Linked DNA regions of Pelodiscus sinensis. The protein of the gene in region 1 interacts with the protein of each later gene in a biochemical or structural test. Links are inferred from orthologs where the notes say so. Each region holds a gene or a part of one and is shown in the gene's direction. Other genes may lie near its edges.

Region 1 (7,339 bases):
CACAATGAATTGCATGATTAAATGTGGTTAATCACAATTAATTTAATTGCTTGAAAGTCCTATAAATATGAATAAGTAATAAGTAATAAAATAATGAATATATTAGATTTGATATCAGGATTATACTAGTAAATTGCTCAAAATCTTAGCTATGTCCTCTAAGGTTTCTACAGTGATAGAAATATTTTTTCATAATTATGAATTTAGCAGCAAATCAGGTCAAACTACTTCCCTCATGGAAGAATAAACATATGGAAGGTATTACATAGAAAAGCAATTGAAATAAAAGAATAAAAATGAGACACCTCTATTGGTTTCTGGAGAAGAACAGGATTATGGAATCTGGAAAACCAAACACACATGCAAGAACAAACATAGGATTAAGATCAACCAAAAGAAGTAACATGTTTGGGTCTCTCTTTTAATTGGTAAAAATGCCCATGTTTTATTTCATGAATCTAAGTAAACACACATGGCAACAATCTGGCCATGTTCCACTACATGGTCTGTTCCTATGCCAAAACAACTGGGTACATTATTGTTGGAAAACAATCATGAAATACAAAGTATACAGTGTCAAAACAGAAAATTCATGTATCCATTTGCACAAAGCACAGTGCATGGTTACATAATAAAAATGCCATCTGTTTATGCAGCTATCCCATTGTGCCTCAGTTTCTCTAACTGTACAGTAGGGATAATAATACTACTACACAGGGCCTTGTGGGGTATAATTAATTTGTTATTACCAGTAATCATTATGATTGCAATGTGCACTGTGGTTATTGGATGAAAGGTGCAATAACATGAGTGTAGTTATAATAAAAAACTGTTTAGGGATATAATGTACAGGCGGCCCCCACTTTGTGACAGCCCAATTTATGACCCCCCACATTTACAAGCTTTTTGTAAGTGCAGAAGGGGCCGAAATCCCCCGACTTATGTCCTCGGCTCCACATTTACAATGGCATATGACACCTGTCATAAATGTAGACTCGAGTTACGACATCCCCAACTTGCGACGCTATCTCCAGAACCAATCACGTTGCAAGTCGGGGGCAGCCGACAGAACAGAAATATGGAGCCTGAACTTATATTATTGGTTTGAATTTTGCCTCAGATTAGTAGTAACTTGAAAGCTATTACCAGGCCAGTTATTTTGTAGCCTGTGAAAAATCAGATGACAAAATCCCCTTCCTACTCTAAGGGTACATCTACACTGCAACACTATTTTGAATACCTAGGATCAATGGTGCTGACAGTGGTTCCTCTCTATGTGATGCCTAGCATTATATCAAAGCTGCTTGGTATAAATGGAATGGTAGGAATTGACCTCAGTTCTGTGTGATAAAAAATACCAATACAATTAAAAGGTAGGGTGTAAAACTGTAGTTCAACCCATCTTAATGTACAGAATAGAGTTTTGGACAGACACAAAAGAAATCAGTGTGCTCTCCACTGTAGAGATGAAGGCAATTAAATGATAGGCAATTAACTGAAATTATGAAGGGCCTAATGAGGGTTGTCCCAATTGAAGACAAGTTCAGAACATTGGTATGGACCAGTGTTCCCCCTAATCTTTTCCATCTATGTGTGAAATAATTTTTATGTGCACTGAGGCATGTGTGAATGTGTACCACCAGTAGAAACAAAACCTAGCTGTGGGCATTTTGTTAATTATCTGGGCAGCATTTGAATCTCTCCTGAGTGACTGCACAAGCACATGGCTTACAAGGAACACTGTTATGGACATGTCTAATGGAGAGCTGACAGTTATGGTACAATGGTCCTTGCGCTGTTCTTGGACAGAAGATGACCAAGGGAGAGGATAAATACTTGGTACATAGACCAAATTTCAGCCAACCTAAACATGACTAACTTGCATGACAGCCAGGTGTACAGTTATGAGTTTTGGAAGAAGGCAATAAAAGTCTCTGACCATGAACAGGGAAGTGGCAAGAAAGAAGATACCAAATTTTGTATCCCTCTATATATTCTTTTCTTTTAGGCCTAACTCTTATAACTTGCTCTGCATGCATGGAGCCTTCTGGCTGGGCACAAAACTTGCTGAAATCACTAGGTCTGTGCATAGGTGTAAGGATCTGCTCACATGGAATAGGTTGCAAAACAGTGGCCAGATATTTAAACTGCTCGAACAGGCAGTGTCTTTATACCTAGGACAGAGCAAAGCACAACACTGATGCATACTAAATAATAGTGTAGTGTAGGTGAGATCAGAATTTGTGTTTGTGAGAAACCAACCTTGCAAAATTGTCATGAAAGCATATAAACTCCAGTACAAGATCTATGCAGCTGTACTTGCCGATTATGATTAATGATAATGAGGGAGAAACCATAGTGTATATGCCTGAATATAGGGATGTGAATGACTCATTGACTAAAGGTGTCTAGATTACAGAGTTTTTTTCAAAAAAAGTGGCCTTTTTTCGAAAAAACTTCCCCTGCGTCTAGATTGCTGCCACATTCTTTCGAAAGTAAATTGAAAGAACGCGGTAGTTTTTTCAACCTTGGAAAACCTCATTTTACGAGGAAGAATGCCATTTTTCGAAAGTGCTCTTTCGAAAAAAGGCGATATGTAATGCAAACTGTGCTTTTTCGAAAGTACTGGTTGTAGTCTAGATGCTCTTTTTTGAAAGAAGCTTTTTCGAAAGTATCTTTCGAAAAAGCTTCTTTCGAAAGAGGCTTGCAGTCTAGACATTGCCTAATTGACTATCTGATAAACAAATGCTTATTGGATAGTCGACATGCTAGTTGACTAATCACTTCCCCCCCCTTGCTGCCTCTATCAGAAAGAGGCAGCAAGGGGGAGGGAAGAAAAGCGGGTGCTTCAAGGTGGCAGTGCCATGTGGAGCCCAGGGTCTGCTGCTATGAAATGCTGTGAAGCCTGGGGCCAGCTGGGGACTGGCCTTCCAGCTGGCCCCAGGCTGCATGCAGCGTTTCAAGCAGCAGCGCTGCATGGAGCCTGGGGTTTGTTGCTTTGAAACGCCAAGTGCAGCCCAGGGCTAGCTGGGGACTGAACTCCCAGCTGGCCCCAGGCTGCATGTGGCATTTCAAAGTGGCAGCTCTGCATGGAGCTCAGGGTCAGGTGGGGATTCTGAGTCCCCCGCTGACCCGGGGCTATATGTAGTGTTGCTCAGGGGTGGATATAGGGCAGGGTGAGCCGAGTGGCCACCCCAGGCCTCGCGCTTCAAGAAGCCGCGCGCATGCGCCACCACACGTGCGCCGTGTCAAAGGGGGGGCCGCGCAAAATTGTGCTCTTCTGGGCCCCGCAAAATCCTCATCTGCCCATGGTGTTGCTGCTTTGAGCAACACTGGCAGCTCTGGAACTGTTGCTACACTTCAAAGGCTGAGGCTTATCGACTAAGCGAATAATGGATGCAAACTGCATCCACTATTCGATTAGCCAGTTAATCTAAATGTAACTTCCCTACCAGTATCTACTATATATTTGAGAGAGATTTTCTGTGTCTGTCTGTATGCTTGTTCAAGAACTCCTTCGAAGTGGTAAGAGCTAGGACCACCAAATTCAGTACTCAGCTTTCTAACTTCAAGCAAGGTACATTTTCATTATGTTTTCAAAACAACCCAAAAACCTTAATTAAGGACCCCAGCAATGTCAGGTTAATGTCAGGAGAGCGGAGCTTTGCCAGGCGGGTCAGACTCCGCTTTAGGGTGATGTATCAATGGCAGGTTACACAACGGCGTAATCTGCATCTCTGGGTAGGTACATGCATAGCTGTCGCTGTACTGCGCATCACGCAGCCACCTCGCTGAGTAGAAATCGACATAGGAAATGGGCCAGATCCTGCTCTCCTCCCCCCTCCTCCCCAGCCCTTGAAATCCAGGGTCTGAGCTGCGGGGCCTTTGTCTCTGCCGAGCCGGGAGAGGCTCCGGGCAGCCGCGCCCCCGCCCAGCGGTGCAGCAGAGGAGCTGCCCACTCCAGGTTGCGCTCCCCCGCCCCCCCCCCCCAGCAGTCGGGTTACAACAATCCTGCCACAATCAACCACCGCGCTGCGTTTTTCGGCCGACTAATAAAACAAGGAGGCGGTGGGCGGGGGAGGAAGGGTTTCTTTTCCACCCCTCCTTCTCCTTCCCCTTTAAGAGGCGGAGGTGAGGGAGTTTGCGGAAGGCCTCGATGAAGCAGGGCGCGCGGAGTGGGCGGCCTGACCTCGTGACTGCCTCTGGCCCCGCCCCTGATTCTCCCCCCCGCACCGTTCCAGCCCCCACCCTCCGCGTTCCATTGTGAGTGCGAGCTCCGCGTGGCCCCGCCTTCCCTCCGGGCCCCGCCTCCTTTTTTTCTCTTGGCTCACTTCCGGCCGCCGCCGCCGCTCGCTTCCCTCCGAGGACTCGGGAGAGTGAAGAAACAACAGCCGCCATTTTGTTTGTGTGTGAGCGACTGAGGGAGGGCGAGAGAGACCGAGCCGGACGGGGCGAGCCAGGGGGCGGGCAGCGCAGAGAGACTCAGGGGGCCCGGGCGGGGAACGGGAAGAGAAGAGAGTCCGAGACCCACCCCCGTTAACCACACCAGCCCCACAGCCAGCCGCCGAGAGCCAGGCAGCGGCACTAGGGAGTCTGCGCGCTCGGCCTCCGCTTAAAGCCCCCGTTCCACCCCGCCCCGCCCGCCTCCGGGGAGCAGAGGAGACCCCCCCCCCGCGGTCTCTTTTATTCGTGAGGGGGAGATTCTCCCCCCCCCCGTCCCGGGATTTTGGGTGGTGTCTGGACCCCCGCTGGGGCCCCCGCCCCCGAAGGCGGAGGCGAGAGGGCGTCCCAACAGCGCCTGAGAGGCGGAGAGTGACCGTCGCCGAACGCAGGGTGGGGGAGAGGAGCCTGACACCCCCCGCCCTGCCCAAACCAGCGCTAACCATCCTCAGCCACTCGGGAGGGGAAGGTAGCGCGAGAGAAGGGGGGAGGGGCCGGCTGCTGCTTCCTCCTCCTCCTGCCCTGGGATCGGTCCCTCCGCTTGCTCAGGGGGGCACCCTGCTCCTCCGGCTGGGAGAGAGCGAGAAGGGGGCGCTGAAACCCGCCCCCTGCACCTCCATCCAGGGATCGGCGCTGCTTCCATCAGGACAACAACCCCTCCTCTTTCCCCGCACGACAAGATGTGAAGCGGAGACTCTTGGGACTTATCCTCACCCTCCTCATCCTTCCAGCTCCCCGCTCTGCAGCCATTAGTGCCTGGCGAGGAAGAAGCAAGGGGAGCTGGGGACCCCGGACACGCACTGTCTTGCTTCCCTCCAGCCCCTTCGCGGGCAGTGGGTGGTGGTTTTTTTTGCTGTGTGGTGTTGGACGGGGAAGGAGCTGCTAGAGGAGGGTGATTTTTTCCCCCTCTCCTTTTTCCTCCTCCTCTCCCCTTCTTCGCCCGCCTCCTTGTGGCGATGAGGAGGAGGAGAACGACGCCGAGGAGGAAGAGGCTGATGGCGGCGGTGAGGCGGCAGCAGGAGGAGGAGACCCCCCGGAGGATGAAGATGATGGTGGCAGAGATGAGGAAGCAGCAGCAGCACAGCAGCCGGGATTAATTTGACTAAACCCTACCAGGCTCTTCTCCTTCTTTTTTGTTGCTGGCACGGGGGGAGGTTTCCGTGTTCTTCCCGTCTCCTCTCTGTCCGGGGGAAAAGGCCTCTTCCGTACCCTACTCCCCACCTTTTCCCCCCGCTGAGTCGGTGCCACCCTACCAGAGACCGAACCCGAGGGGCAGAAAAAGGGGAACTTGGCCCCCCGCGTCCTCCAGATCCGTCGCTCGCTCTCATTAGTCCACAACTGAGTCGGGGATCCGAGAGGAAGGGGAAGATTTTGGGGATCCCCGTCCCTCTGCTCGCTGTGTTTGTCTAAAAAGAATTAAAAATGGCCGAGAATGTGGTGGAGCCGGGCCCGCCTTCAGCCAAGCGGCCTAAACTCTCCTCACCGGCGCTCTCCGTGTCCGCAAGCGATGGCACAGGTCAGTCTCAGGGGCCCAGACCCCCCATGTCCCAATAATACGCCTAGAACCCTTTCCTCTCCTCTAGTTTTCCTCCTCTTCAGCTCTGTTTCTTCCTTAGTCCCTTCCCCTTTTTGTCTTTCCATTTGCACCCGTTTTTCGTCTGCATCTATGTGTATTAATCTTTTCGGAGGGTATTTAATTGCTCTTGCCCTTTATTTGTTAGATGTGATTGAGATGGGATCTTATTTATTATTCATTTGGTCACTTGCAGAAAAGACTTAACAGTTGTACAGTTTTCATCTTTATATCTCTCATTTCTGGTGGTTATAGGCATAAAATAGTGCACAAAACATCTTAACTCTTAACAGTGTCTGTATACATACACTTATGTCTCAATGTTTGTTGGATTACATGCATTGTAAAAATCCTTACATATTTTTCTTCTAAATAAGAGAGTTTTTTCCCCATTCCTCCTTTTCTCTTGTTTGCATTCTGGTTATCCTATTTACTTTTTTACCATTTCCCTTCACCTTTTCTCACCTCTCTTTTCTCTAAGGAACAGCTATCCTGGTTTTTGCTAGAAATTTCTTAGTTGTAATTTTTAAGTTCTGGATTGCAGATTTTAGTGATGTGTAAGATTTTAAGACCATGTTTATCTGCATGCAAACACATAGCGTTTCATCTTATTTGCATTAAGAATCAATATGGAGCGCAGTTCATTTTGCATCTTCCATTTCTTTGCTGTGAGACCAAAATGTCTGAAATTTCCATGTAGATTTATTGGGTTGTGAAGATGAAAGGGTCTTTTTCTTTCTTCAAGGATTTTTAACAGTGGTTTTGTATGGAGGAACAATCCATAGTTGTTCCAAAATCAAGCTAGAGGGTATAAATTTTGGGTGTCCCAATCCCCATCAAATGTAAACTAGTTGTACTGGAAATTAACAGTAAGCTGTTCTTCACTGCCTCTTATTAAGAAGCAGATGAGCATTTGGTAAAATTCTGCTTTGAGAGTTCTGAGCAGCCTGTCCCCCGTTGTTTCTCAAAACTTGCTTTTAGATCTTCTTAGGTTAAAGAAAACTTTTGGGACTCAACTCTGTCACTCCCCCTGCATATATTCTCTAGTTAATGTTGTTGTTCCCGATAGGCACCAGTTTACTTGTTCATTGTAATTGTTTGAGCTGCCAGGAAAATGAGTAAAAAATGTCTGGCCGTCACTCAGTAAACAAGATGTTTTAAATGTCTTGCTTTCTGTTGTGCATTGGTTTAACTGGAATCATCTTAATTAAAAGTTTTTTGTTTGCTCATCTTCTTAATTTGTTCTATAAAGTTTATATACCTAATTGAAAAATGTTTGCAGAGAACTTTTAGAATACATTTAGTCAGAGGTAGTAGGTGATGCAT
Region 2 (7,032 bases), on another chromosome or scaffold:
TTTAACGGCACCAACAGAATGGGACATTACTAATGAGTTGGCCATGTGTGCACTTCTATAACATTAAATAATAACAAGTCTCTTGTTATGGGACTGCCAAAGAATTCATATGGTATAATCAGATGTCTCCACCAAAACTAATTTATGGGAAGCCGCATAATCTAATGGTTTGGGCAGGAGACTGTGCATAACAAGACTTAGCTGTATTTTCAGTCCAACTACTGTTTTACTATGTGATCATGAGAAAATTACTTACATACATGCTTGCAGTATCAGGATGTAACTTTAGGCATGTGAGTTGATCCACTGCCTTCAGGTCTGTCACCCAAAAAAAGGATCTCTCTGATGTGAAGAGACCACATCAAGAACAATAGAAGACTTTTAGAATAAATTGATACATTGAACAACGATAATCAGCAGTACCAGACAGCATTCACCCAGCATTCTGGTGGAACTCAGATATGAAATTGCAGAACTACTAAGTGTGGTATGTAACCCAGGGCTGGATTAAGGGGGAGGGGGTCTAGCCGGGCAGCTGCCGGGGGTGCCAACCTATGGGAGGCGCCTGATGGCAGCTGTAAGGGGCGCACACGCCCATCCGCGCGGCACCCCTTAGAGCTGCCATTAGGCACTGCACGCCCGGGGCCTGTGCGGCACCCCTTAGAGCTGCAATCAGGTGCCGCACGCCCAATTGCAGCTGGAAGGAGTGCAGCGCACCAGGGGTGGAGCCGCGCATGCGTTGCGTGCCTGCTGCCCAGGACGCAGGAATGGCTCGAGCTGGCCCTGATGTAATCTATCACTGAAAAGCTACAGAGGGGTAGCCAAGTTAGTCTGTAACTGGAATATATTTAAATGCTGGAAATAAACTGCCTATGGAGGTTGTGGAATCTCCATCTCTGGAGATAGTTAAGAGCAGGTTAGATTGACATCTATCGGGGATGGTCTAGAAGGTGCTTGGTCCTGCCGTGAGAGCAGGGGACTGGACTTGATTACCTCTTGATGTCCCTTCCAGTTTTAATATTCTATGGAAAAACTTAATGAATAGTCTAGCAGCACCTTAAAGACTAACAATACGGCTACGTCTAGATTGGCATGATTTTCCGCAAATGCTTTTAACGGAAAAGTTTTTCGTTAAAAGCATTTGCGGAAAAGAGCGTCTAGATTGGCACGGATGCTTTTCCACAAAAACAGCTTTTGCGGAAAAGCGTTTGTGCCAATCTAGACGCACTTTTCCACAAAAAAGCCCCGATCGCCTTTTTCACGATCGGGGCTTTTTTGCGCAAAACAAATCTGAGCTGTCTACACTGGCCCTTTTGCACACAAAAAAGGACTTTTGCCCGAATGGGACCAGCACAGTATTTCCGCAAGAAGCACTGATTTCAGACAATAGGAAATCAGTGTTCCTGCAGAAATTTAAGCGGCCAGTGTAGACAGCTGGCAAGTTTTTCCGCAAAAGCAGCTGCTTTTGTGGAAGAACTTGCCAGTCTAGACACAGCCCACATGTAGATATATCATGAGCTTTCATGGGTACAACAATGAAGAAGTGGGTTTACCCATGAAAGCTCATGAAACCATCAACATGTGTTGTTAGCAAATACTCTAGCAGCACCTTAAAGACTATCACTGAAAAAAAGCCTCTGTTACAAATCACTGGAAGGTAGCTAATGTAACACTGATTTTTAAAAAGGTCTTCAAAGATGATCCTGGCATCTACAGACTAGTGAGGCTACCTTCAGTACTGGGCAAATTGATGGATACCATAGTAAAAAAACAGAATAATCAAACACATAGATGAATAAAATTTGTTGATGAGTCAATGTGGCTTTTGTAAAAGTAAGCCATACCTCACTGATTTAATACAATTCTATGAGGGAGTCAACAAACATGAGGATATGGATAAGCCAGTCAACATAGGGTACTTGGATTTTAAGAAAGCATTCAACAAGGTATCTCACTAAAGAAACTAAGTGGGGTAATAGGAAATGCCCTCTCATGGCATCTTTCAGGATCCAAAGTTCCTACATATGCCTCTCTTGACATGTGGTATACCTCATGCAATGTATGTACTAAATGACCTAAAAACTATGGGGGCGAAACAAGACAATTAGTACACTCTTGAATGAACTCACTCAGAAAAATGATAAAAGAGAAAAATACCATATCACCTGAGAGTGAATATTTTTCACAAAGTGATTGGCTCACCCTTATGCATATCTATATCTGATCTTTTAGTCCTCATATTCAAAGGAAACCTGCACAGCACTTTCAAAAGACGAGCCAGTGATCTTAAATTCATAATTTTACTAGGCACTAAGAATAAAGGTCTTAATAAAGCCACCTGATGTATAGCTTATAATAATTTGTAACCCTCTAACCCCCTCTTTTTATCCCATGACTACAGAGATATTAATTTGTTCATTTACCTTGAATAGTTCCTTATAACATGTGTTAACTACTTATGCTAAAGTCTGTTCCACCATGCATTTCTTGCACTTCTCTCTAGTCTTTCTGCAGCTCTAGTGCCCACCATTTTTGGAAACAGGATATTGGGCTAGATGGATGATTGGTTTGAGGCAGCATCACAGCTTTTAGTATTTGTAGAATTAGGGTTTTAATCTCCACTTCTGCCTTTGCTTTGAGCCACACCGTAGTATTCACTTTTGTAAAATGCTTTGAGATCCTCAGATAACTGCAAAACACACTTTTCACCATGAATCAAGAGAGAATTTGAATCTGCCTGTTCAACAAGCTCTCCTGATTCATTTCATTCTATCTGCTTAGCAATGTTCTCTTTTAGCTAAAAGATTAATTCAAAAGGAATAAGAAAAGCTTTCTTTCCAAGACACACTTCAGTGGAGTAAATAGTTCTTGCAAATATAAGGCTCCAGAGATAAGCAATTTGATCTGCATACCACAACCATGCATGCATGGAGTCTCCTTGATTCCTCATGTGTGTGTGTATTTATGAAATATGAAAAAGTCAAGTCTAAAAGGAAGACAAGCAATAATGTTCACGAATAACTTCTCTTTGGTGAAGTTTATGTAGGAGAAGAATGAGCATATTTCAATCCATCCTACAACATTTGAGGATTACTGTTGCTACTCTGCATGTTGAATAGAGAGGTAGCCGTGTTAGTCTGATCTTGCTAAAACAAAAGGAAAAACTATGTAGCCCTTTAAAGACTAACAAGATGGTTTAATAGCTTTTGTGGGCCAGACCTACTCTGGCCCTGGAAAGCTCATCACCTATTAAACTATCTTGTTAGTCTTTAAAGTGCTACATAATTTTTCCTTTTGTTGTTGCTACTCTGTTTCCTTTAGGACATTTGTAATGTATTTATGTATTTATTTTCCCTAACTGCAATACCTCTTGTCTCATATCTTAATTTCCCTCTCTGATCTATAACTCACAATTGCCCACATCTTTGGTTGCTTTTGGCTATACATGGGTGTCTTCACTGAGGTGTCAATTCCAAGAATAAAAAATTATGAGTCATGCCCTCTCCAGTCAGGAGATTGGCTTAAAATTCACTCAATTAAAAAAAACCCAACAACACTCTCAGTTGTGTAAGTTTTTTTAGTTGGCTGCTGTGTTCTCAGCTTTTAGAATTTACTTGATTTGCATTTGCAGACCCATCTTGAGAATCACGAGGGCTTAAAAAAAACCTTTTAAAAAAAATGAGAACTGACATTCTCACATTACCAAATTAATTCAAGCCCCAGGGCTTTATTGAAAACACCAACTACTGGGAGAGTTGGCCGCACAGCTTTTGTTTTGTTGTTGTTATCATCCTATTGTGGTAACACACCTTCCTGCGCTAGGGCCCCACCACGCTAGGCACCGTCCAAAGCTAACAAAAAAGTCCTTACAAACGCACAATCCGGTCAGTTTCCCTCTTGTGTGTGTTTGCCTTACAGTTTGAGCGGGGTGGGTGGGTGTGTGTGGGGGGGGAGGTGGGGAGCTACGATTCGAGCTAATAAAGCTGGACTCCGGTCCCACCAGCGTGGTTGTGTGTGAGTCGAGCTCTCCTTTTAGTAAACAGCAGTGTGAGCGGCAAGCCGCCCTGATTGCCGTGATAAGCCTGTGTGCGGTTAGGAAGTTAGCCGGAGTTCCCCACGTCTCCTGCAGCATGCCGAACAAACACCTGCATGGGCGCCCCGCGCCGACTGTGAGTGTGTGGGGAGGGGGCCCTGGACTAGCGCCAAGGGGGCTGCAGCAGGAACTCTCTGCCCCCCCCCCCGCCCAGCCGGGCTCTGCAGGCGGCTGGATTCCGCGGGCGGTAGGACCCCGCAGGCATCGCCGAGCAGACACAGCCCGTGTGTGTGTGTGTGTCTGTGCGAGCAGCAGGCAGAGGAGGGACCAGGCGAGCGCAGGCTGGCGGAGCCGGGAGCCGCGGCAGCAGCCCAGCCTGAAGGGGGGTGGCTGGGGCAGCAGCCAGCAGCTCGGGGCCCGGCCGCCCCCTCGTGCGCCCCGGCCGGAGGCTGCCCAGCGCCGGAGCGGCCAGAGCCAGGCGGGGGTCCGGCCGGCCGGCGCGCTCCATGGGCTGATCCCCCGCGCCGAGGGGCGGAGGAGCGGCCGGCGAGGGAGACCAGGCGGCTGCCCGCGCCCAGCTAGGCCCTAGCGCCGGCCCCGCGGGGGAACCCGCCCAGCAGCGCCGCCGCTCCGGGCGTGTAAGTGCCCCGCGCGCCAGGGCGGCGGGAGGAAGCGCCGGGGCCTGCTTCGCCGGAGCGGGCGGGGGGCGCTCGCCGGGGAAGAGGGAGGCAGGATGGTGCGTGCGGCTCCCTCGCGGGGCCGGGCCTCGGCGGAGGGAGGTTTCATGCGCCGCAGTGGCGGCGGCTGCGGCACCCCGCCGGGTGAGCCTGCAAGGAGGCTGGGGGCTGGCGCCCTGGGGCTTACTCCCCGTTCTGTGCGTGTGCATCGGGGCATGGGGCGAGGAGGGGAAGGGTAGGGCTGCGCGAACAGGAAGCGGCTGCCTGCTCTGGGAATCCAGTCAAGGAAAGTGTTTGTGACTGGAGCTTGGGGGGGTCTCCCCGCAGAGGGAGGAGTGCTGAGCTGGATCTTGCACTCTCCCGCCTTGCTTCCCACCCTACCTTCGCCCCACAAATGCATGGGGAGGAGCGAGGCTGGCTCTGTCTTCGAGCCTTCTTGGTTGGATTCCTTGGCTATCAGGAGCCTTTTGGTTTGCACAAGCTTTTATGTGGCACTGTTTTTCAGTCAGTTGATTGCTTATAACAGGTTTCTGAGACTCTCCAAAAGTTATGACACAATTTAGGGAAGTACTGTGACCAGTCCCCGTCCCCCCCGCAACTTCAGTGGTCACTGAATTGTATCTTGGAGACTTCTAGCACCTTCACCTCACTTCAACTTCATTGAAAAAAAAAACCACTCTCTGCGTATGTGGGTGTTTCCTTAATTTGACCTGTGTATTTTGGACTTTGTTTATCATAACCAATATGGAGATGCATTAGACATTTTGGTGTGGTGGTGTTTGTACTCATGTGGTTGCATGTTTTTTTGCTTAGGTGAAGTGTTAGCTTTATTTCCCCTTACCAATATATAAGAAGCAAATATCTGATTTGGTTTGTCTTTACATCGGGACAGGAAGTACACTTTAAGTTGCAGTTTTTAAGGGGAGTGGCCGGATTAACTTTGTTATATTTGTTTACAAGTAAAAAAAAAGTGTGGTGTGGCTACTAGAGTACTTTAGGTAGCTGTTAATTTCATAGGGGCAGCCAGGATATTTACCTATAGCACAGAAGTATTTGTGTGTTTAAATACATTGTCATTACCTTTTACTTTTTCAGTAGGTGGGCTATCAAGAATTTGTGAATGATATTTGCAAAATATGAAAGCGTGCAGTCTAATTAAAGAAGAATCCCAATTTATTAAGCAGTATCTATAACTCTAGTTTTCACTTGCAAGCTAATAATATTTGCTAGAAGAAAATTCATTGAGAATTAAATGGATCTATGACTTACTTCATCCTTACGAGGGGTGGACCCAAAACTTTTGTTTACATATGTGTTCCCTCTCATTCCATTTACAGTCTCCTGACTCTATATGCTCATATAATTTGAAACATATACAAGAGTTTTATAAACTATAAATTGAGTTTTCTCATTTGAGGAACATAATGAAAATGTAAGGGTCTGGAAAAGCTGTCCTCTATTTCCAGTCATTCTCACTTTTGCCCTGCTTTGAGTTTGTCCACCCAACAATCCGAATCCGAGATAGAACTAAACTTGTATATCAGTGGTCTCCAACCTTTTTGCACCCAAGATCATTTTTAAATGACAGAACAAACCAAGATCTACTACCCCATCCTTCCCCCAAGACCCCACCCCTTCCTTGAAGCCCCAACACGCCCTCTCTATTCTCCTCCTCTCCATCACTTGCTATCCCCAATCCTTATACTGCTGCTTTTTCCCCCCAATTCTTCTGTAGGAAGAGGTTTTTCCAACATTTGGCCTGTCTAGACTGGACCAAATGTCAGAAAAACCCCTTCTTTTGGAAGCCCCTTTATTCCTTGTGGAAAGAGGAATATAGGGGTTACCCAAAGAGCACATTTGCTCTTCCACTAAAAAAAGTGAAAGAACAAATGCATCCCTGGATGTAGAAGAGTTTTTCTGGGATAACTCTGGAATCCTGAAAAACTCTTGGGCTACATCTACACTGGCATGAATTTCCGAAAATGCTTTTAACGGAAAAGTTTTCCATTAAAAGCATTTTCGGAAAAGCGCGTCTAGATTGGCAGGATGCTTTTCCGCAAAAGCACTTTTTGCGGAAAAGCGTCCGTGGCCAATCTACACGTGGTTTTCCGCAATAAAGCCCCGATTGCCTTTTTCACGATGGGGGCTTTTTTGCGGAAAACAGTACTATGCTGTCTACACTGGCCCTTTTGTGCAAAAGTCTTTCAGAAAAAGACTTTTGCCCAAACGGGAGCAGCATAGTTTTTCCGGAAAAGCACTGATGATTTTACATCAGATCGTCCGTGCTTTTCTGGAAATTCAAGCGGCCAGTGTAGACAGCTG
Region 3 (5,405 bases), about 3.6 Mb from region 1:
CTAATGTACAGTAAGCAAGGGAGGACAATCACCTGTGATCAGGAGGCAAGTATCTATCCCCATGCTTCTCAAAGGAAACCAAAACAATAAAGGATTGAATAGATCATCTAGGGAAAGGTGCTTGGAAAGCCTTATGAGAACTGCACACTGATCAGACACTGGTATGAGCTGCAGGAAGGGGCTTCTATGTGAGATTTTGCAGAACTCTGATTTTTAATTTTCATTGTCTTGATGGAATGTCTCCAGAGACTTCTCCTTGCCTATCTAACTAATGTGACTTTGCTTTGCACCAAGGAATCACCTCTATGTTAGCATCTCAATCATGCTAGAAAAATTGATAAACAAGACAGTGCCAATGTTTTCCGTATCTCCATGATTATGAGACACTAAGAGAATGTCTGCACTCACCCTACTGGAGATAGATATTCTGGCGTTTGATTTAGCGGGTTTGATTTAGACCTGTAAGTCAAACAGTGAGGGAAGCTCCAGCTGGCGCCTGTATTCCTCGCAGTCCCGAGGAGTAAGGGAAGCCTACTGGAGCATTTGCTCCTCTTGGCCTGCTGCTGTGTGGGTGCTGGAAGCTGACTACAGCTATGTATTCTATGTAGCTGGAATTGTGTACTTTAAGCTGACCTTCCAGGTCTAGTGTAGACCTGGCCTAAGCCGTGTTTCCAAAGCATGATGATGTGCAGACTTCAGCTTTGCTGGGCTGTAGACCTGTCTGTTAAATGGGAGAATCTAAAGGAGAATCCCCTGAGCCCTAACTGAGGCCCCAAGGCAAAGCATTAATGGAGGTGGGCGCTTACCCCCTCCTCTCCTCTTACAGCCAATGCCTGACTAATTACGCTATGCCTTAAAAAGTTTTAAATGGAGCTGTCTCTGTCCTTGCATACAAAACCTGTTTAAGCATATTGGTTAGTGCCAGTGCACGATTCTTCCAGGGAGATGGGCATTTCATGGACACGGAGACTGGCTCCAGTGCGAGAGCACCAGTCACTCACTGAACTGAACAATCATTAAAAGATTCCTGAATGTGGAAAATGGCTCAGTTTTGGAATTTCTTCTATGTTGCTCCTTGTGTGTCCTGAAGTGGGCGATACAAACCTCATGCTGAGCTGAGTAGGGCCACACTTGGGTTGGAGTCTTACTTGCACAAATGGTTCAATACTTGTAGAATGTGCACATTGACATCTGAACAGAAGGCTTGTCTGTATTCCCGGACTGGAACTGGAATGTACTTAACTTCTCTTGGTGGTTTCGGTAACCGGGTTTGGTTCTTTAAAGGATTTGAAACCACAGACAGAGGAATACTTCTTTTTAGGGTCAAACAAAGATTATTCATTTTTTTCTATTTACTTTATAATTAATTTTCCATTTAAATCAATTCACTATTTTTGATTCTTTTAAGACAATATAATATACAAAGAAAAAGTAGAAAAACAGTATAGTTGAAAAAAAAAAAACAAGAAATAATAACTTCTCCTACAGATATACCCTCCTGAGTTACCGTTAAACAATTTATGGAGTTAACAAATATATAATACTCACGTTAAGAAAGATAGAAGCATTGCTTAGATTCAGGAGATATTCTTTTCTTTGTTTTTCCTTTCTTTGGATTTTTTGTTGCAACAGGTGTTTGTTCCCCTTTCGGAGCTTATTTGTTCTCCTTTCGGAGCTTATGTGCGGCAGCAAGATTCAGCGCCGGGGAGGGAGACCTGGTTGATCAGACCTGGCTTTTGGGGTTCGCAACCTGTCCGCTCTTGGTCTGTTTCAACCAACCTTATATACCCTGTTTCGGTATTTTGGTACTCCTCCACTCGCCTGACAATTGCTGACGTTAGATTTTTGTTGTCTCATTCTGTCCTTACAAAAAACTTTCGTCTGCTCATTTTGGGGTAATCAGCACTTTTGTTGCATACTGCTGTGTGAGGTACTTACTTCCCTAAAAGCAGGGTTATTGTTGGTGAACCAATCAAATTTTGTTTTTATTTTTATCTCCTGTATCTGACAATGCTGCCTTTCCTTTCCACTTACAATTAAACTGGTACTCATTTGACATATTCTGGGTAGGCCGCAACACATCACTTTCACAGGTGGAATGATTTTCAAAGGCAGGATACCAGGTCTTAGTGTATCTCCTGTCTTAAACTGTGGAAGTGACAGACTCCTCTTCCTAGCATGAAGCATGCACAGCAAGCTTTACGGGGAGGGGAAGGAGTCATGTACTATCCTATGGGACTAATCCTGCTAATACACTTGATGGTGGTGCTAGCTGTGGTTTGAGAACCACGCTCAATTTACTCCCTGAATGACAGAAGAATGCCAGTAGGAGAAGGCCCAAATATCTTCCTAACGTTATTGGGCTCCCTGCACAGTGAGAGGCCCAAGAACTGATAAAAGGATCATTGAAGTGCTAGTGACAGAGGTGGTTTAATTCTCCATAAGAAACCTGGAGGTAATTTTAATCAAAGTTAAAACCCATATACATGTCATTGTTTTCTCTCCAGCAGTAAACAAACCAAATGAACGAATTGCCGGTGGACGGGCAGGAGGGAAGGGAAGATGCAATCAAACAAAACCAATCTCCAGCAAGAAAAGGAAAAAAAAAGTAAAACTGTCGAATTTCATGATTGACTTTGAGAAAACCTTTATCACTTGTGGTGTGCAGAGATCAGCAAACCAAAGAATACTTACTCTAAAGTTCCTTAACTGCCCTGTGTATAAAGAAATATACATAGATTACATATTTTACAGCAGATTTCTCTATTTTCCTCTGTATGTTAGTGCAAGTAACTAAAAATCTAGCCTCTTCAAAATCAGACAAACTTTGTGTCCACATTAAAAAATGAAAGAAAAGCTACCAATCTCCCTCTAAGACTTCTGCAACTGCTTTGGATGCGTCTATGCAGCAGCATTATTTTGGAATAATGGATGTTATTCTGAAATAATGCGAGCGTCTACACAGCAATTCCGTTCTTTCGAAATAATGGACGGCTTATTCTGACTTCTGTAAACCTCATTCCATGAGGAATAATGCCTATTCTGAAATAGCTATTTTGAAATAGCTGTAGTGTGGACCCTCCTCTACTGCTATTTTGAACTAGCTCCTCCCCAGGGCCATTCAAAGTCATTACACCCTAGTGGTTCCTGGGGCTCTAAATCAAGGTAGCATCCTCAGGACTATCTTTGAAGCTTTCCCATAGGGTACGTCTAGACTACCGCGTTTTGTCGACGGAAGTTTTGTCGACAGATACTGTCGACAAAACTTCCGCCAACAAAGAGCGTCCAGACACATTGAGTTCTGTCGACAAAACAAGCTGCTTTGTCGACAGAACTCCGTAGTCTGGACACAACGTTACAGGCAATAACACCTTCTGTCGACAGAGTTCTTGTCGACAGAAGGTGTTATGCCTCGTAAAATGAGGCAGTAGTGTAGACGCTGGTATAGTTTTGTCGACAAAAGTCCACTTTTGTCGACAAAACTAGGTAGTCTAGACACACCCATAGTGTAGACATGCTATTGTAAAATAAACTATTTTGGAGTATTCCTTCTGGAGTAACTTATTCCGAAATAAGTGTGCAGTGTAGATGTACCCTTTGTGAAATAGGAGAGGAGTCTGTTTCTTAGTATACTTCGGTCATCAGAAGAAGTGGGTTCTGCCCAGGAAAACTCATGATACCAGGTACGTGTTTTGTTAGTCTTTAAAGTGCTACTAGACTATTTATTGGCGTTGAAGTTTTTTCCTGTTACAGAGTAACTCCGCAACCCCTCTGAAGCTTTTGATTTCCGAGGGTCTGTTTTCAGTGACCATTCAAATCCGTGGTCAGACGCAGCAGCAGCAGCGACATCGTTCACGTTAGGCGAGAAGAAAGAAAACAATCAGGAGCAAGGGGAGGGAATCCGAGTGCCCATGCTCCCGGTTTTTGGCCGAAGCACATGTTAAACCCTCCTTTCCTTTGTACAAGCTTTGGAAAATGGCGGCGGCGGGGGCGGGGGAGCAGAGAAAGGAGCAGGGAGTGAGGAAGGGAGGCGTGCGTGAGGGAACCTGATTGGCCGTATTTTGCCGCAGATTCCTACTTGAAACGAAGCCACACAATGGCAGCCGCGTTATCGTAAGATTTGTCGAAAGGGAAAATATTCCAAAAACAGATAGAAAAGGTGACGTAAAGAGATTCCTAATCTAGCCATCTGCACGCTGAAGGAGAGGCCCACCAGCGTCAGGAGAGGCGGGCTTCCAAAGGAGCCCCCATGCTTCGTGCCAGCGCTTCACCCCGAGTCGCCTAAACCCCCCGCGCCAGTCCCTTTTAGTAAGCAAGCTAGTTTTGCGAGCCTTGCGCCGCCCCGGCAGTCAGAGGCATGGACAGCGAAGAGCGGGGGAGGGGAGACGGTACAAATAACCCGCCCTTTTCCCTCTGCGGTTCTCAATGAGGTCGGACTTCAGGCAATATACGGAGACGATTACCCGGCATCGCCATGCAGCTGTGACTGAAAAGCTAGCGAGCATGTCTGGCCGTGGCAAGGGAGGTAAAGGTCTCGGGAAAGGAGGCGCTAAGCGCCATAGGAAGGTATTGAGAGATAACATCCAGGGTATTACGAAGCCAGCTATCCGCCGTTTGGCGCGCCGTGGGGGCGTGAAGCGCATTTCGGGTCTCATTTACGAGGAGACTCGGGGAGTGCTGAAGGTTTTCCTGGAGAACGTGATTCGAGATGCTGTTACTTACACCGAGCACGCGAAGCGGAAGACGGTGACTGCTATGGACGTGGTTTATGCATTGAAGCGCCAAGGCCGTACTCTGTACGGATTCGGAGGCTAAGCCTGGCAGTCATTCTTAGGGAGAAGAAAAGAAAAAACTAACCCAAAGGCTCTTTTCAGAGCCACCCACGCTTTCATAAAAAGGAGCTGCTGTTGCTGTAATGGTTTGGGGTCTGGCCAAAGCCTTCGTTACATTAGTAGACGACGGCTGTTCAAATTAGCTCGGGTGCCGGATGGTAGCTTCTCACACGGAGAAATACTTTGCTTTGCGTTCTATACAGCGCATTATCGCTAAGACTTAAGTGAAAACCCAACACTCCTCTCCTCTCCCCCCAAAATAAAAGCGCATTTCTAAAGGCTTCTCAGTTTTAAGTTTGCGGGAGCGCATCCGGACTGCGGGGTGGAAAGGGGAAAACAACAGTGGGGTGTTTTTGCCCGATAGTAGCGTGTACCTAAGGAAGCGGAAATACAGCTCTTTTCCGTGTAAATGTGGTGGCTCTTAAAAGAGCCTTTGTGTTTTAAATGGTTGCAAGATAAGGGCTTTAAGCTCTTTCCCCTCGGATGCGTCGGGCCAACTGGATGTCTTTAGGCATTATAGTAACTCTCTTAGCGTGAATGGCGCACAGGTTGGTATCTTCAAAGAGACCAACC
Region 4 (7,998 bases), on another chromosome or scaffold:
ATCATTTTTATTTTCTTTTAAAGGGTTTTATTAAAAACTAAACGTACACACTAAGGGGTTTCTTAATGTATGCCAAAATATTCAGCGACACTGCACGAACCTGGATAATTATGCCGTTACAAACTCACCTTTTCTGTGCCCGACAATATCTAAGGTTACCGATTTTCATTCAAGAACAATCGCAATTATTTGCATTGCCCTGGCGTATCTGGATGCACCCTTTCGTGAGAATACGATGTGACCAGGGTGGCCCACGTGTAAGGGAAAGGTGGTTTTGTTTGTGTTTGGAAAGCAGAATCCAGTAATTATGATGTGAGACCTCCAGAATGGAGCGTGTGCAACCACTTCGACCACGTTGTGCAACAAGAACACAGTTCAGAAAACTACTAGTCCCCGGAGTGTTTGGATTCTGCAGTTACTCGATTGTCCCGGACAGGGATTTCCCTATCCTCCCCCCCCCCCCATGGGAGTGTATACCCCCGCTGAATTTCACCAACACCCCCCCCCCCCGCAGTTTTGTGAACTATGGTGCCATACAGCCCACCTTCACCCTCACGGTGTCACCCCTCATCGGCCCTCATACACCCCTTGTAAATTCAAACACCCCCCCCATTTCAATTCCTGGGGGGGCTACTGGCCCCGGAGGAGAGAATGAAGCTTATAGCATTAGAAACTGCATCACAGAACCTCCCCAAAGTCCTCTGATTCTGCAGGATGGTTCAATAAAAAATGAGCCTCTTGCAGTAGGAGAAAAGGAAGAAGGAGAATGATTTGGCACGTTAAACATCCAGATCTCTTCTAAATCCTTAGGTAAGCGATGGGAAGGTTCATCACTAAGAACATAATGCAACTCAACGTCAAGGGCAAGACACGACAAGCCCTAGCAGTACATGTCTGTGTAGAGTGAAGAAAGAGGGGCTAGATCCGGAGTGCATCGCCTCCTGCCCCACGCAGTCCGGAGCTGAGAGATCTCCGATAGAACCCTCTTCCCGTCATGGGCTCTTCAAGGGACCTTTGCCTAAAAAAAAAAGTCCTGTTTAAGTAATGGAGTCGGATCGGGGCAATGCGCTGCCTCCACAACCGTACAACACACGAATCGTTCCTATTGTGTAGTGGATTGGTTACTGCGCTGATCTAAAAAGTGTGTGTGTGTGTGTGTGTGTGTATATATATATATATATATATAGTGGAGAGAGCGGAAAGTAGAACTAAATTGAGGTTGTGACTCAACCCCGGAAAGCGACTGGCTGCAAAGCAAACTCCAGCAGCACATCGCTGGCTCATTCAGTAGGGCGTGTAGCCCACTAGGAATTTGAGATTGTGTGGGATCTTGCTGCCCCTGGCATTGTGCGACAGCCCCCACCCCCCTTCCCCTTCCCTCGGGACTTTCAGGGCACAAGAGAAGACCGCCTCCAAAGGCAAGCGAGTGATTATAGAAATGGCCCATTGGCTCCATTAGTTCTGCTCTAGCCAGAGCCTGGTGGGACCTATGTCATTTTGGGGACTCCCACTTTGCACCTCTACCCTCCCCTCCCCTCCTTCCTGGGATGTCGCTATCGGTACTAGGCCCTTGCTAAAGCCTTGTCCTGCCCAAGATCTCGTGTGAATTTGATCCAGAAGAACCAGGCACCTTGCTTTTAACACACACACCCTCTTTTCCCGACCACCCTCCCACACCGCCTCTCCCGCACGCCCACTCTTTTAAGCTTTGGGATGTGTGCGTAGCTGGAGAAGGAGACAGAACTGCTTGCTTTGGGCGTTGATGGAAATTGCCAGTAGACTAAGGCTAGGAATAACACGTGCTGCGAAAGACAAAACGGGGGACAAAATTGGGGGTTGGGGAGCTGAGGAGGCAGCACGTTAGACGAACTGCAGAAATCTGCACTGCGAAAAAGGAGACTTGAGCGTGGAGGAAGAAGCCTTTCCCCCCCTTCAATGAGCGATTGGAAAAGTTTAACAATGGAAAACATTGACGGATGAGTGGGGGGGAGGGGAACCCTTTTAAGTTGCCGATCAGGTATCTGGCCCAAGGTGAGATTCCACCTACACATGTGGGAAGTGGTTTGTTTAATTTATGGCATTCTTACAAACAAAAGAAGGCTGGTTCCCTCCGTCTGGGCTCGAGTGAAAAGTGCACACTTAGGAGAGACAGCAAGGAACAAGACTAGTCCTGGACATGTGGGTAACAACCCAAATGGATTTTTTAACAGGTTCAAAAAACCTTCCCCCCTCCTTCAGCAATTATAAGTCTGTCCTGCATTTGAGTAATAAAGAGACAGACACGAACTGTTCTGAAAATGCTGCAATGCTTTTTCCTTCTTTAGTCATGAATTAAATTATATTTCGCATGTTGCTTTGCAATACAGCTAAATCGGCTGCAGATCACCCGCCTTTCAGAAAGACAAAGTGCACCTTTAAACATTGTCAAGGATCTAAAGTGAGCTGAGAAGTCTCTCTGCCCGGCATTAGGGCGAGATTTTTAAATTGGGCACAAGTAAATAATTCTTTTGATGACTGTGCTTTGATCTTGGAGAATTATTTCCGTAAAAGAGCAGTAGGCACCGGCTATCAGTAACGGTGTGAACTTAGGGTTCATAAAGTGTCATAAAGTGTCATAAAACTTTTCCTCCCTCAGTCAATCCAAGTTTTCACGGTTTTTTGTAGCTCTTGCACTTTTGACCAGTCCCCTTTTCTTGTCAGAGAAATCAAGCAAGTTCCTAGTTCAGATCTGCCTGATCCGCCTGGTAACAGATCTATTCCCCTATTGGCTTATGCTAATTTCAGTTTCCTCTTGTATTTCAGCCCATTTTAGGGGGTGGGGGTTCCCTGCAGGAATTAGAGCCAATTTTGTTTTAAGTGGGCGATCTCGTTCATGCAATATTGCCACACGCAGCAGAAGCCAGTCTGTCTGTGCAGCGGTCTCAGCTGGAGGGTGGTAGTGGGAGGGGGGCTCCGGAAAAGCTGTAGCTGATACCACTCCGCCTCATAAATCAAGGGCTCTTGCCACACCGATGCGGATTTTTATGAATGAAAAAACAACTTTGTTCGCATCGTGAAAAAAAAAGCAGCAGCAAATGCATCGGGAGAGCAAGAATTCCATGCAGCAAACAGAGCGTGGGGGAGGGATGGAGAATCAGTGTAGTTGATCCCCGATGGAAGATTTATTGATCAAGAAATAAACAGAGAGAAACACTAATGTGACCAGAGGGGTAGAGGCAATGCCTGGTCCCCAAATTATACTGCCTTAGAAAATGTCACTAATGCTTGAAAGGAAAAAAATCCACATTAGAAAAAACGTTTGAGATTAAGGAGCGATGTAACTATTTGTTGAACAAAATGTACCCCTGAACTTGTCTGTGATTAATGGACAAATAGTTTATTGACTTTAAAGGGTGAGCTTAATGTTTGTTTGTTTGTTTAATAAAAATTGGAACATATTTGCTACTTTTCAGGAATAAAAAAGATACATAATTTATATAGGTAGGAATTTCTTTCCTTGGTTAAAAAAAAATCCCATAAATTCTAGCAGTGGACAAGTACAACAGGGGCCAATATCCTGACTGGAGCCTTTGTGTATCATCATAATATAGGCAAGACAAAGGTCAGATGTGAAGATCGCCTGTTATATACACTATACATAAATAAAACTATAGCCTTATGATCTGTAGCGATATATCCAATATAGCTCATTGCATGTACAAGAGGGACAAGGATTGCTATGCAGAATTATGTATACGTTATACATTCATACATGTGAACCTCATGCAATCTAACCCAACTGGAGATGCTTTGAGAAGGGCTGCAGAAGCGCCAGGTATTAATGTATTAATTATTATTATGTATTAAGATGTGCCCAGCCAGGCAGGCTGAGAACCAGTTCAGCAAGCAGAGGACAAAGTGGATCCCCATATCTATGAGCCCCCAAAACAGTCACCAGCGAGACACAAATGCTTGCTCCATTGAAATGAGTTTTGCTATGGCTGGGATGGGGCTAAGACTTCAGCCGTAGCACTTTCCCCGTATGCAAAAAGCAGCCAAATCCCTTCAGGCCTAAATGCTTCTTTTCTGAAAATGTTTCAGATTAAAGGGAAGACCTTTAACAAGTGTTCAATGTAAAAAAAAAAAGGTTTCTTAAATTTAAAATAGCTTTATTTGGGAAAGTAAAGTCTCCCATGCTGGGACCACAATACAACTGTGGATAGGGCTGTTGCTAACTTAAATGGGCTTTGGCTCTGGCTCCTGATAACCCCAGTGAATATCAGCACCTTCCTCGCATTCCTCTTCCTCTAGGTGTTAACTGTGCGGGAGGAAATGCTGGCCACCATTTTGCTGGGATTGTTCTGGGTGGTTACTGGTTATGTGTGCTGTGGGGGTGGGGTGTTGATATCTGATCTATTGCCTGCTTAGGGTTAACTGCTTTCTTAGTGCAGCTTGGATGAGCTATCACGGTGTTCTGCTTACCCTGTCTTTAGGGTAAAAGCTTAATATTAAAAAAAGCACCCTGAATATTCTAGGGGGAACTTTCTTTTCAGTTCGGGGATGCAGCAAAAATCTACACTGACTTGGTGAGGTTGGGGGAGGGGGTAGGTACAAGGAATGGAAAAGGACAAGATCCTCTACATGCCCTGGCAGGCCAGGTTGAAAGCCTATTTTTAAACAATGCTAGTTTAATTTAGAGATGGGTGATAATAATGAATATGGTCCTGCTGCCCTCCCCCACTAAAATGATAATAAATAAGCTTCCCTGTATTTATAGCCATGCCTGACTGTGTGTGGCCTAGTCCCATTCATCATTTGGCTCCCACTGCATTACTCTCTCGATTTTAAAAATTATGCATGATATGCTGAAGAGACAATTTGGGTTTCCCCCACCTCTCTGCTTCCCTTGAAGAAAGCAAGCCCTTGTCTCATTTGCATTAAACCCTTGCTTCTGTATAAGGGGAAGGACTTAAAGCCTATGGGATGGCTTTAGGGCTCTGCCCCTTGCTTTTGGCTTCTCTCTCACTCTCTGTCTCATTCTCTCTTGTGCTTTGATCTCTGCTTAACAACAGTAAACGTCACAGGGGCTATACAGGAGACTTTTGTTGGAAGTTAGAAAGTTTTGCAGCCTCCAGAGGGCTGTAGCGGCAGTAGCAGCAAGCAGCATCCAAAGGACTCCTGGAAGGGGAAGCGAGCGAGAGACTGACTGACTCAGTCCTTTAGAAAACTGCCTTTGGAAGAAGGAGACAGACATGGAACATCAGCTGCTGTGTTGTGAAGTGGAGACCATCAGAAGAGCCTATCTAGATACCAACCTCCTCAATGACAGGGTTCTGCAGACAATGCTGAAAGCAGAGGAGACCTGCTCGCCCTCTGTGTCCTACTTCAAGTGCGTGCAGAAGGAAATCTTGCCATATATGAGGAAAATAGTTGCCACTTGGATGCTGGAGGTTTGTATGTTTCAGAGATTTCTTTGCAAGCTGCTGCATTAACCAACCCTGAATGGCTCCCCCGTTCTAGAATCTGCCCCCTCGCCCCCCCCCCCAAAAGCTTCCTTCAGCATTGGAGGTAACGCTAGAGCTATATATTGACAGTCAAGAATGTGATGGCTTTTATCCCCTTATCTTCTATTTGCTTCTTAACAATGAGGTGCCTTCCATAGCGGGAAAGCAAGCCCCGCACCCCCATCTCTAAAACAAAAATAAATTCTGGGGCGGGGGGGCTCCCTTGAACCTTTTCAAATGAACTCGGTGCCAGAGAAAACAAAGTTTCACAGCCCCAGCTGGAAAAAGCCCCCTTAAGACGCCTCCTCTGGGATCCCAGATGAACACAGCAACTTCCCAGGCACCCCGAGGCCCCACTCTTGTCTTCGGGCAGCAATTAAACCTCGCCAGCTATTTTATTGGGATTTTATTTTAAATTAATATCGATGTACACGTATGCAAGTGCTGCCCGTGCCAGTATTATGCGCCATCTTTGTTCTTTTATTGCAAAGCAAAAGTGTTTATTAATAATTAGAAAATTAGCAAGTCCCCAGGAGCGAGCCAAGGGGGGCAGGGGGCGTCCCAGAAATGGGGGTCCCTGCTGGGGCTGTGGACAGGGGGATCGGCTGTTGGGCTCTGTCATTTCTGGGGGAAATGCAGGGTGAAAGTTTCTTTGTTCAGAGCAGAGAGCGAGCTGTGGTCACCCCTCAAAGACATGCTTGTGCTGCAGGAACTTTCGGCAAGGTCGCATGGCAAAATCCAGTTCAAATGCCCCACTCCCCTGGCAGGACATGTCCCAGGGCATCCCCAGCAGGATCTAGGGAGCCTGGGCTACATTTTCATGCCTTTTCCGAAGCCTTGGACGCCTGCGATCTATTTTTAATTAATTTTTGAAAGCGCAGCACGTTGCCCTTGCTCTAGGAAATGTCGCACGTTGCTTTTCTGAAGAGGGTGAGGGGGAACGAGGGAGTTTGATTTCGGGGTATCTCCCTGACCGCCCCTAGGTGCCCCATCAGCACGGGGATCGGTAAAGGACCCCCGCCGGGTCATTTTCAGCCGTTTTTGGAGCTTGGGCTGATTTTTTAAATATTTTTAAATATTTTTTGAAAAGATGACGTCTGGGGAAATGGGGCTGGTGCGGCTGCTCCGGACGCCACCTTTGTGTCTCGAGCAAAGCAGAAGATCGGCTGCACCCAAGTAAATAAGAAATAATAATCATAATAATTAAAGAAAACCCTGGGAGCCCAGCTGGGCCCCTGCATCACTTTGCAAGTTATTTGTCCTTTTTTTTAAAAAAAAGCGACTCCCGATCTGCGAGCACCCAGATTTTTACCAAAGCTCGCCTGCGGATTTTTCACACCACATTTCCCCACTTTCTCTCTTTGCGACTTTCTCTTTCAGTTTCTTTTAAGTCTTCCCTCCTCTCCTTTTGGGGAAATTTATTTCTCCCCCGTCAACCCCATCCTCTGCCTTGCCCTTCAAGCTTTGGTTGGGGGTGGGGGGAGGAGGCATAACTGGATTTAATAGTGGATGCAATTACTGGTCGTTTCAACGAGCTCTCTCCTTTTCCAGGTTTGCGAGGAGCAGAAATGTGAAGAGGAGGTTTTCCCCTTGGCTATGAATTATTTGGACAGATTTTTATCGTTTGAACCCCTCAAGAAAAGCCGATTGCAACTCCTGGGAGCTACCTGCATGTTTGTGGCGTCAAAAATGAAGGAAACTATTCCTCTGACCGCAGAAAAACTGTGCATTTACACCGATAACTCTATTAGACCCGACGAGTTACTGGTAATTTCACGTTTCTTTCGTCTGGGGGGAGAAAAAAAAAGCACGAGCAGGAGCGAGGAAGAGAAATACATACAAACAATTAAATCACATAAATAAGCCCGCCCGACAGAGAAAATCGTCAGGCTTGTTCTTCAGATCTGCCCAGCCTGCCTCCCCCGCCCCCCCACGCCGCCACTGAAGCATTATGCGCATTTCACCCCCGTAGAATTATTGCTCGTTCCGCTCCAGCTCCCAGGCTAACTCCCTGACTCGCACATGGGGACAGGAGATGTAACTTACATGGCTCTCAGAGAGAGTGCACCCACCTCCCCCAACCCAAAGGAGTTGGCATGAAGGGGTCCCACGCGCGCCTTAGCCCGGGCTTGTGCAAACGCTCTGGGACTGCAGACTAAACTAGACCGTAGATTGTTCGAATGAGCCCCCCCCCCCACCCCAATACTCTCATTATTACCTCACCCTAAGAGAAAGTCCAGTCCAGCGTGGAAAACGTGGGTGGCTGGCGCCCTCTTGCGTTCCGAATGTGCCGTTCAGCAACTTGACTGTTTAATGGAGCGTTTCAAGGCAGCTGGGCGAGGATAAGTCTTTCCAGTAGTTGCATGCAAAAAGGCATCCTCACCTAGGTGCTCTCCTGCTGGTAGTCATCCTTAACAGCACCACTAGTTAGCAAGAGTAGTATTTTAGTCCTAGTTTCCCCCTCATGCAGAAGTCAGTGCCTCAAAAAGATTGCCAGTGCGTTAAGATTCCAGAA

The links.
Region 2: of the proteins of EP300 (region 1) and AKT1, one has a biochemical effect on the other in vitro, tested with the Homo sapiens proteins (3 studies listed by BioGRID, with this or other methods). The link is inferred for Pelodiscus sinensis from reciprocal best matches to the Homo sapiens genes EP300 and AKT1.
Region 3: of the proteins of EP300 (region 1) and H4C16, one has a biochemical effect on the other in vitro, tested with the Homo sapiens proteins (5 studies listed by BioGRID). The link is inferred for Pelodiscus sinensis from reciprocal best matches to the Homo sapiens genes EP300 and H4C16.
Region 4: the proteins of EP300 (region 1) and CCND1 form a complex in vitro, tested with the Homo sapiens proteins (2 studies listed by BioGRID). The link is inferred for Pelodiscus sinensis from reciprocal best matches to the Homo sapiens genes EP300 and CCND1.

The regions. Positions count from the first base shown.
Region 1 is NC_134711.1:89,545,317-89,552,655, reverse strand, and holds the start of EP300 (histone acetyltransferase p300), read left to right. Parts: upstream 1-4,313; 5' UTR 4,314-5,862; coding exon 5,863-5,956; intron 5,957-7,339. UniProt on the Homo sapiens protein: Functions as a histone acetyltransferase and regulates transcription via chromatin remodeling. Acetylates all four core histones in nucleosomes. Histone acetylation gives an epigenetic tag for transcriptional activation.
Region 2 is NC_134714.1:18,007,846-18,014,877, forward strand, and holds the start of AKT1 (RAC-alpha serine/threonine-protein kinase), read left to right. Parts: upstream 1-4,025; 5' UTR 4,026-4,169; intron 4,170-4,337; exon of another isoform or gene 4,338-4,671; intron 4,672-4,722; exon of another isoform or gene 4,723-4,854; intron 4,855-7,032. UniProt on the Homo sapiens protein: AKT1 is one of 3 closely related serine/threonine-protein kinases (AKT1, AKT2 and AKT3) called the AKT kinase, and which regulate many processes including metabolism, proliferation, cell survival, growth and angiogenesis.
Region 3 is NC_134711.1:85,908,151-85,913,555, forward strand, and holds H4C16 (histone H4), read left to right. Parts: upstream 1-4,298; 5' UTR 4,299-4,425; coding exon 4,426-4,815; 3' UTR 4,816-4,880; downstream 4,881-5,405. Other genes in the region: histone H3, read right to left, coding at 5,297-5,405. UniProt on the Homo sapiens protein: Core component of nucleosome. Nucleosomes wrap and compact DNA into chromatin, limiting DNA accessibility to the cellular machineries which require DNA as a template.
Region 4 is NC_134714.1:88,731,220-88,739,217, reverse strand, and holds the start of CCND1 (G1/S-specific cyclin-D1), read left to right. Parts: upstream 1-4,988; 5' UTR 4,989-5,231; coding exon 5,232-5,429; intron 5,430-7,034; coding exon 7,035-7,250; intron 7,251-7,998. UniProt on the Homo sapiens protein: Regulatory component of the cyclin D1-CDK4 (DC) complex that phosphorylates and inhibits members of the retinoblastoma (RB) protein family including RB1 and regulates the cell-cycle during G(1)/S transition.